Sus scrofa: one gene and its partner. The protein of the gene in region 2 purifies or fractionates together with the protein of the main gene of each other region. This does not show direct contact. Links are inferred from orthologs where the notes say so. Each region holds a gene or a part of one and is shown on either strand. Other genes may lie near its edges.

Region 1 (4,666 bases), on a different chromosome or scaffold from region 2:
GTCTGTGAGTCTGCTTCTGTTCTGTAGAAGGTTCATTTGTGCCATATTTTACATTCCACATATAAGTGATATCATGTGGTATTTGTTTTTCTCTTTCTTACTTACTTCACTTAGTATGAGAATCTCTAGTTGCATCCATGTTGCTGTGACATTCATTCTTTATACAAATACTAGTGAGAACTTACTATAGTAAGTCAGGTATACATGCCAGGTACTATGCTAGGTGCCAAGTTTTGGCCTTGGGTGGCACGTTGTCATTTCCTGAGATAAGAAACACTGGAGTGGGAGCAAATTTAAGATAAAAGGTGGTGGGTTCAGCTTTGGATGTGTTGAGTTTGAGGTGCCTGCAATATGTCCAAGTGGAGATGTCAAGAAAGCAGAGCTCAGAGAAAAGTTCTGGATGGAGCTATAAAAATACGGTTGTGGTCATGCAGATGGTAAGTCATGCCAAGTGAGTGAAAAATCATTTAGGGAGAGGGTATATATAGCTTATTCCTGAGAATGTCCATCTTTCAGAGGTTAGAAAGCTGAAATGGAGTCAGCAAAGGAGACTGAGGAGAGAGCAAAGTGGTAGGAGGAAAAACAAAAGTGTATGGCGTCTTAGATGCCACAGGAAGACTCGAGGAGGAAATGGCTAACTGCACTAAATGTAGGGGAAAGGTTAAGCAAGATAAGGAGTGAAAATGCTCTGTTTATTTATTTAATATAGTTTTTTTTTGACATGGCGATCATTGGTTGGGTATCTTGTTAAGCACAGTTTCAGTGGAGTGTTGAGGGAAGGACGCCACATTGCTGAGTAAGAAGTAAGGGGATAGAGATTGCAAATGTACCTGTAAAGTACATTTTCAGTAAATTTGCCCATAAAGAGGAGCTGGAAAGGTACCTAGTGTATAGAGAGGATTTTTTTTTAATATGGCAGAGACTTGAGCATGTTTAATTGCTGATGACAGATGAGAGGGACTTGAGTGTGGTAAATGGCTGATGAGAAGAATGGAGGGAGAGGAGAGAGAGGGAGAGGAGTCTGTAAGTACTGGGTAAAAATAAACGTTTTAAAGTCAATTGATATATATTGCTCACTGTTTTCTAAAAGAGTTTTTAACCAGCATACACTCCTACTGGCAATTATGAGAGAGCTTGTTTGGTGGCCACTTTGTCTTCTTTAAGTGTTATAAAAATAAGCAAGGAAGCAAACAAAAACCTTTGCCAAAGAATTTCATTATTGATCTAATTTGCTCTTTTTTGGACTAGGGAGTTGAATGTTTTAATCAGTTGTATCCATGTGTGCATTTAGTCTCTGTCTTCCCCCCCCAAAGTTTCTATTTTAGACAGATGCTTTTATTTGCCATAAAAAGCTGAAAGTCAAAGCATGAGAATGGTATCATATTTTATCTCCCCCAATTATATGCTCTTGAGTCTTCATCTTCTTAGAAGTACACAACTTTTGGCTCAGCTGAACTGAAGAGAAAGATGTATATCATTGAGAGAGTGACCACCGAGAGTCTAGTCTTAGACTCTTATCCTCGGTCCTCAAGCCCCGTTTGCTAACCTGGGACAGCACTCCTTAAGTGCCTTAAGACTTGGGCTCCCAGAGCTCCACTTGGGTGGTGCGGCCCCCTACCAAGGAGCCCGGAGCTCTGTGCGGCCCCTTTAAGAGTCCAGCTCCTCCCAGCTCCAGGGAAAGTTGCAGCTTTTTCCGCCTCCCGGGAGGGTGAGAAGGGCCGGCCGCTGGAGCTGGGTGGCGGTCTTCCCGGAGCCAGAGACCCTACCCTGAATCTGGCACTGGGACGTCTCGCCCTCTTGCGGCACCTGTTGCAGGTGACAGGTAGGTCCGTGGCCCTCGACCGCCCCTCTGCCCTTGGTCCGGGACGTCTCCTGGGCCCCCAGTCCCATTTCGCTGCCTGGGCGCTCCCACCCCCATCTCGGGGACCTGCACCCTTCCTTACCCCCTTCCACTCTCCCAGTCTCGTCTTAGCTGACCCCCCGTTCCCTCTCTCCGGTCCGCCTCTACGGACCGCACCCCCACGCTTTGACTCACGTCTGCTGGGGCAGTCCCTCCCCGCCACTTTGCCTTTTCCCCCTGCCCCCACCCCAGGTCCTTTCCCTGGCCGCTTCCCAGGCCAGTCCGTCGCCGCCGCGGGTTGTGCCCCTTGGGACTCTGCCTCCTCCGGAGTGGCTGGCTTTTCCCGCCCTCCAGAGCCTGGGGCCCCTTCTGAGAGCTGGCCCTGGGGGCGGGGGTGGGGCCGAGCTCCTAGCGGGAACCGCGCCTTCCGAGGTGTCGAGTCACCTTTTCGGCGGTGTCTCCCGCTGCGCCCGGCCGTCGCGCGTGGTCTCTGCCCCGCACTGCTTCCGGACCACGGACCTCGCGGCGTCCACTTCCCTAGCCTGGGCTGATCCGCCTCAGGTAAACGCTGGAGGCCGGTTGGCCAAGGTCCTGCCACAGTGGGCACCGTCTGCACTTGGGGCTGAGGACCCAGCTGTGTGGTCTGGAGCTGAACCGCTTTATCTTGTCACCCTTACATCAGGCTGTGGGGGTATGCTCCTGGAAGAGGGTCCTCAGAGCCCTAAGAAGGGGCACCGAACGCTTCTGCCTACTGTGATGGTTTGTAAAAGGGCAGAAAAGCTGTCTCTCCAGCCCTTAAAGTTGAATAAGATGGTTGGGTTTATTGGTGGTGAAGTCATGTGGTTAGAATTTTGGTGACTTCAACAGGTGATCTATTTCTCCTTAACAAACCTTTTCTTCCCCCAGGATCTTGCCTGCTTCAAAACCAGAGGACCTAGCATTCCAGAATACTGCTTTTGGCAGGGTTGACCCTAGACCTTGTACGTTTGTGCTAGAAATTAGTCTTCAGTACATCTTGTATCTTCTATTTTTAACTGGCTTCTTTTCTGCTCTTTCAGCTCCCCACCCCACCTCTCATAAATCCATTAATATTAAGGTTTTAATTACCTTATGTGTTTACTCGCTGGTCTGTGGAGAGAACAATGTTTAATGCAAAGAGTTGAAGTTTTCTGCTGTAGTTGTAAATGTTATTTTTTTTAAGAACTTGCTTGAAAACCTTGTTAAAAAAAAAAAAAAAGGACTGTACACCAACTTGGCTTGTGAGACCTTTCCTGGCAGGGGATGAATGTTGCTGGTAGCACAATTTCAGGTGCTTCACTCTAGGTCAGAGCTTTGAAATGGAGTTTGGAGACCTGTTCGGGGATAGTTGGTCTGCGAGTATATGTGGCATTCTCGTTGACGCTCTCTGAGCTTTTCCCCTTAAAGGCTGCTGCTAATCATGGTTGCTAGAATCCATTGATTCAGGCACTGTGATAAGTTCTTTACATAATTATCTCACATAATCTTAATGTCAACTCAATTGCTAGGCACTACAATTATAACCATGCTAGGATAAAAGGGAGACTCTGAGAATTGAAGTACCTTGCCTCAAGTCACCCAACTGGTTGGGGGAAGAGTGGGGCCATCTGATTGTAGAGCTCTGTTTGTATCCCCTGCCACACCACCTCTGCTATCTTAGATGTTAGGAACACTAAATTGCTCACAGGTGAGGACTCAATGATTAAAAATTTTCCTTTCAAGCCAAAGCCTAACTTTTGGTCTTTGGCTTGACCTCAGAGGCGCTGCAGAGATTTTGGACCCCTTAGCTCACTGATGTGTTATCCACTTCACTTCCAATGTGGGGCTGGCTGGTTGCCACACTGCCACTCTAAACACACACCCCTGAATGTACGTTGTTGAATGAAACCTCTGGGGCTCTCAGCTCAGTAGGAATTGTCCTGAGAGTGTGACCCTGGATTCTAGGGATGTGCGCCTGACTCAATTTTTTCCTTTCCTGCTGGCTAGTGGAGAAGTGAGGGGGTGGAAAGTGATAAGGATTTCCCAACAGCCAGACCAGAGAGCCTGAAGCTGAGTGTGAGTGTGTGCTTGTGTTATTGTGGGGTGGATGAAGTACCTTAGGCAGGGACAGTCCATGAGAAAATGCCCTTCTTGATCCCATCTTTGGGTCTTTGCTCAAATTACTCTTTTTTTTTTTAATTCCTGAAGAGATAACTTGCCACCTGTATACATTCCCGTGCCATTAATTCCTCTTCATCTCTCAAGATTTAGCTCTAAAGTCATCTCCTTTGGGACCACCTTACTGAACACACATTTCCTTCCCCTGAGCAGAATTAGCAGTTATCCTGTGTCCTAATGTACTTTGTTTACACCTCAGGGAAATCCCTTAATGCTGTTGTTAGTTGGTTTTCCACCTGGAAGGTTGTAACCTCTGTAAGGTTTGGATCTTGGAGCTCCCTTTGTCTTAAGTGCAAGAGATTAACAAATATTTGTGCTAGGACCTGGGGATGCCATACCTGTAAGGGCCTGAGGTCAGGTGATGGTGGGATTGAAGGACAGAGGACACCTTATGGAGGCACTTGAAATCTGACAGCTAAGAGTTTGTACTTAAATGTCACCTTAGTGAGGCTCTCCTTATTTAAACTTAGAACCCCTTCCCTGAGCATTCCATATGCCCTTTCCTTACCTTATTACTCTAATGTAATATATTGTGTATTTTATTCATTTTTCTTTCTTATTGCCTGTCTTGCTCCCCCCCTCCATAATGTAAATTCCATGTGGGCAAAGATTTCTGTCTGTTTTATTCACCAGTGGATCCCAGCATCCATC
Region 2 (3,902 bases):
CCGGCTTGAATAACTGGGATTAGGCTACTTTTAAGCTTTATGTTTAAATGGGGACAGCTGGTTTTGTCCCACTGGGATCAAAACTGCTATTTGTAAAAAAAAAAAAAAAGAAAAAGAAAAAACTGCAAATTAAATATTATCTTTTGTGCTATATCAATTAAAAATAGAGGAAAAATAAAATACTACTCTTCCGTGCTGACATATATCAATCTGGCTTGAATAACTGGGATTAGGCTACTTTATGTTTAAATTGCCGCAAAGGCTGGGGATTTTTCTCTACCAGTCTTCCTGGTAACCCTCCTTTTCTTCAAAAAAGAAAAATTAAATTTCAATGTGGGCTTATTGATGGACACGCTGTGGCTGCTCTGCTCTGCAGCAATTTCTCAATTAATTAAGCTATTGCTTAATTAACCCTTTAGTTACCCCACATGCAAGGGTGCCCACTCAGAAAATGCTGCTGTTTGTTGTGTCACTTCCAGACTAAATGTCATAGACCTGCCGGCTTCCTTAGTTGTCAGAAGTCCTTCGAGACTTACTGGACAAGTGGAATTCATGGCCTGTCAACTGCAATAACAAAGTCCTTACGTATAGGTGTTGATTCTTCTATAGTATCAAAGGAAATCACAATTCCAAGCCACCTTGGGTGAGCCACATAAAAGCCACCATTTTGAAGGTGACACAAGAAATGCTAAACTTGTGACTTTTTAAAGTTAATCTGTGGCCCCCAGTCTGGTTTCATTTTGTAAGGCCAACAAGCAAAGAGAGCCATTGGGTCCCAACACCGCCAAGGGAAGTTACTCAGTCCCACTTACTCATCCAGTTTCTGACATTTAAGAAGCTCTGTTGACTGGTGAGGTCGAACATTAATAAGAAACCCATGGCATCTCTGAAAAATGCAGTGGTGAGGCTCCGGAATCTGCCAAGAAAGCACAGCGGATAGTTCTGAAAGTTAGTTCACATTCATATTCTGATAACAACAGAAACGACACTATTTCTCTTTCAAATACCCAATCTCCAGAGCATCCCACGGATTATCCAACAGAATGAGAGTGGGCAGAAAGACTGTGGAAGGGCCAGGGGAGCACATCTGGTTGCAGGTTTGTTCAAGATGACATCCCAGCTTTATGTCCCCATAGCATGTATGCAGGCAAGAGTTTGTAACCTCCAACCACACACTGGCTTACACAGTCCCTTGGAATCTTTCTCCCGTTGGCTCATGGGCATCGTGCAGCCCACAATTAAAATATAAGCTATTTTAGAGTTGGGATTCTAACTTATACTTTTCAATTTTCCTGTCTGTGCCCAGAAGGAAGCTTGGCACGTGGTAGCCTGCACATGAATGGCCGTGATTACATGCAGAAGACCACAACTCGTTAGCAGCCGGAACTATGATTCTTTTGTAAGGAAAAACAATGTGGAGGAGAACATTTTTCTATATGCACTCTTTGGGGGTAAGACTGAGCTCTAGGCTGGCATGCATGTCTCTTAAGGAGAAAGATGACAGTGAAGAAAGGAAAAGAAGAAGTTGATTAGGGGAATCAAGGGAAGGGCAAAGAGGTAGTTGATGAGAGGAAATGAGAAAAGTCATCTCTAATGGAGGATTTTTTTTTTTTTTTTTTTTTGTCTTTTTGCCATTTCTTGGGCCGCTCCTGCGGCATATGGAGGTTCCCAGGCTAGGGGTCGAATCGGAGCTGTAGCTGCTGGCCTACGCCAGAGCCACAGCAACGCAGGATCCGAGCCTCGTCTGCGACCTACACCACAGCTCACAGCAACGCCGGATCGTTAACCCACTGAGCAAGGGCAGGGATCGAACCTGCAACCTCATGGTTCCTAGTCAGATTCGTTAACCACTGCGCCACGACGGGAACTCCTCTAATGGAGGATTTTGAAGAATACACTCCATCATGTGTGATGTAAAGACTCTCTCTCCTGCTTCTACCTGACCCCCACCCCCATCCCAACAGCCTCAGGGCTGAAGATGCTCTGAGGTCCACTTCAATGTCAGGAATGGGCCAAACAAGAGATCACACCTAGGGTTCAGAGAAGGTATGGGTTATACTGGTAAAGAAGTGAATCTGACAACTGGTTTTTTGAAAGGCAACTTACTTTGAAATAGAGAAGCATATCACTTCCTATCTTAAATGTCCTTCTACTGTTTGGTTCCCTATTTTAGCCAATTTGTAGATTCTTGGTTTCCTTTCTTGACCCTTTCTTCCTCTACATCCATTCACTGGGTAATCGCACTCATTTCTCCAGATCAACTATCACCTATATGTTGAACCCCAAATTTATAGGCTCTGATCTTTCCTGCCCTCCACAATGTCTGCCCAATTACTAGTTGGATATTTCCACTTGGAGGAAATTAAGCTACTCCCAACGTCACATGTCTGAAACCAAACTTGCCCCTCCTCCTGATTTCTTTTTCTGTCAGTGGCATCACCGTCCTCCTTGGTTGCTACAGCCTCTTTCTCCTTCACCTGCTAAATACAAACCAACAAATATATCTTCCGACCTCTTCTCACTTCTGTCCATGTACCCTGACACCACTCTAGTTTCCAAACCATTTTCATCCCACCTGGATCATTTTAATAGCTTTCTCTCTCTCTCTCTTTCTCTTTTTTTTTTTTTTTTTTTTTTTTTTTTTTTGTCTTTTTGCCTTTTCTAGGGCCGCACCTGTGGCATATGGAGGTTCCCAGGCTAGGGGTCGAATTGGAGCTGTAGCTGCCGGCCTATGCCAGAGCCACAGCAATGCGGGATCCAAGCCGCGTCTGCAACCTACACCACAGCTCATGGCAACGCAGGATCCTTCACCCCCTGAGCAAGGCCAGGGATTGAACCCGCAACCTCATGGTTCCTAGTCGGATTCGTTAACCACTGAGCCACAACGGGAACTCCTAACAGCTTTCTCAATAGGCTTCCCGTCTCCAGTTTTGTTTGGGAACCTCCCCTTCCCTGATTTCTCCCCATTGATTATATAAATCCTTAGCTAAACCATTTAAATGATGAGGCACTGCTCTTCAGATAATGACAACTTTTTAAAGCAACCTGTCCAGGCTCTGCATGAACTAACCCTTGCCCATCTATCCTTCTTTATCTCCTGACTCCCCACAGGCGTGCTGCTCCTCTTGCAGTTCTTAGGAAGTTCACTCTCTCCCCTGGGCTTTCACACATGCTGTTATTCCTGTGGGTAACCTCACCTTCATGCTTCCCTTACCTCCTCCCCCTTCAGCCTGGATAAGAGTCACTCATACATTGTGTATGAATGTGTATCTATAACAGGATCACTTCCCCACACAGCCATCCAGCACCCCCTCCTGGGTTATGGACTCCTCTTAGCCGTACCTGCCTATCACTTTTTGTTTTCCTGTTAGTGTCCTAAAGCTATATTGCTACTGCGTATTTATCCAAATTCTACCCTACACTGGAAGCTCCAAGAGAAAAGGAGATGTGTTTCTAACTTGCTATCCACTGTGTTTTTGTGGCCGTGAACATATATATATATATATATTTTTTTTTGGTTCACAAAATATTTGTCAAATTTAGAGAAAGAAAATAGCAAATGATACAAAATTATTAAAGATTTAAATGACTTCAACAGAGAACAATACTTTTAGTACCGAAGTAGGGAGAAGAGATATTTTAATGACTGTTATTTCCCAAATAAGATTTCTTTGGTAGGACATAATTACATTGCTTATGAAATACCAAAAATTTTACTCAATTTTATTTTTGTGGATTTGTTCCTACCAGTCAGTAGAAGCTCCCAGAGGTTACAATGCTTTTATTGAATGGTTCTCTCTCTTTCTCTTTCTTTGGGGACTGCCTGTACTCACAAAGTTGTCTCCTACTCACCCATGATAGTGTGGCTAAGTCAGCCACAAAAGTCTGCTCTCTGTTCTCTC

Evidence for each region. The genes of interacting proteins can lie anywhere in the genome.
Region 1: the proteins of RAB27B (region 2) and SYTL4 purify together in Homo sapiens (co-immunoprecipitation; 3 studies listed by BioGRID and IntAct, counting the BioPlex papers as one, with this or other methods). This does not show direct contact. The link is inferred for Sus scrofa from reciprocal best matches to the Homo sapiens genes RAB27B and SYTL4.

Annotation. Positions count from the first base shown.
Region 1 is NC_010461.5:82,434,441-82,439,106, reverse strand, and holds the start of SYTL4 (synaptotagmin-like protein 4), read left to right. Parts: upstream 1-1,667; 5' UTR 1,668-1,822; intron 1,823-2,148; exon of another isoform or gene 2,149-2,401; intron 2,402-4,666. UniProt on the Homo sapiens protein: Modulates exocytosis of dense-core granules and secretion of hormones in the pancreas and the pituitary. Interacts with vesicles containing negatively charged phospholipids in a Ca(2+)-independent manner.
Region 2 is NC_010443.5:104,405,211-104,409,112, reverse strand, and holds part of RAB27B (ras-related protein Rab-27B), read right to left. Parts: intron 917-3,902; coding exon 813-916; intron 1-812. UniProt on the Homo sapiens protein: Small GTPase which cycles between active GTP-bound and inactive GDP-bound states. In its active state, binds to a variety of effector proteins to regulate homeostasis of late endocytic pathway, including endosomal positioning, maturation and secretion.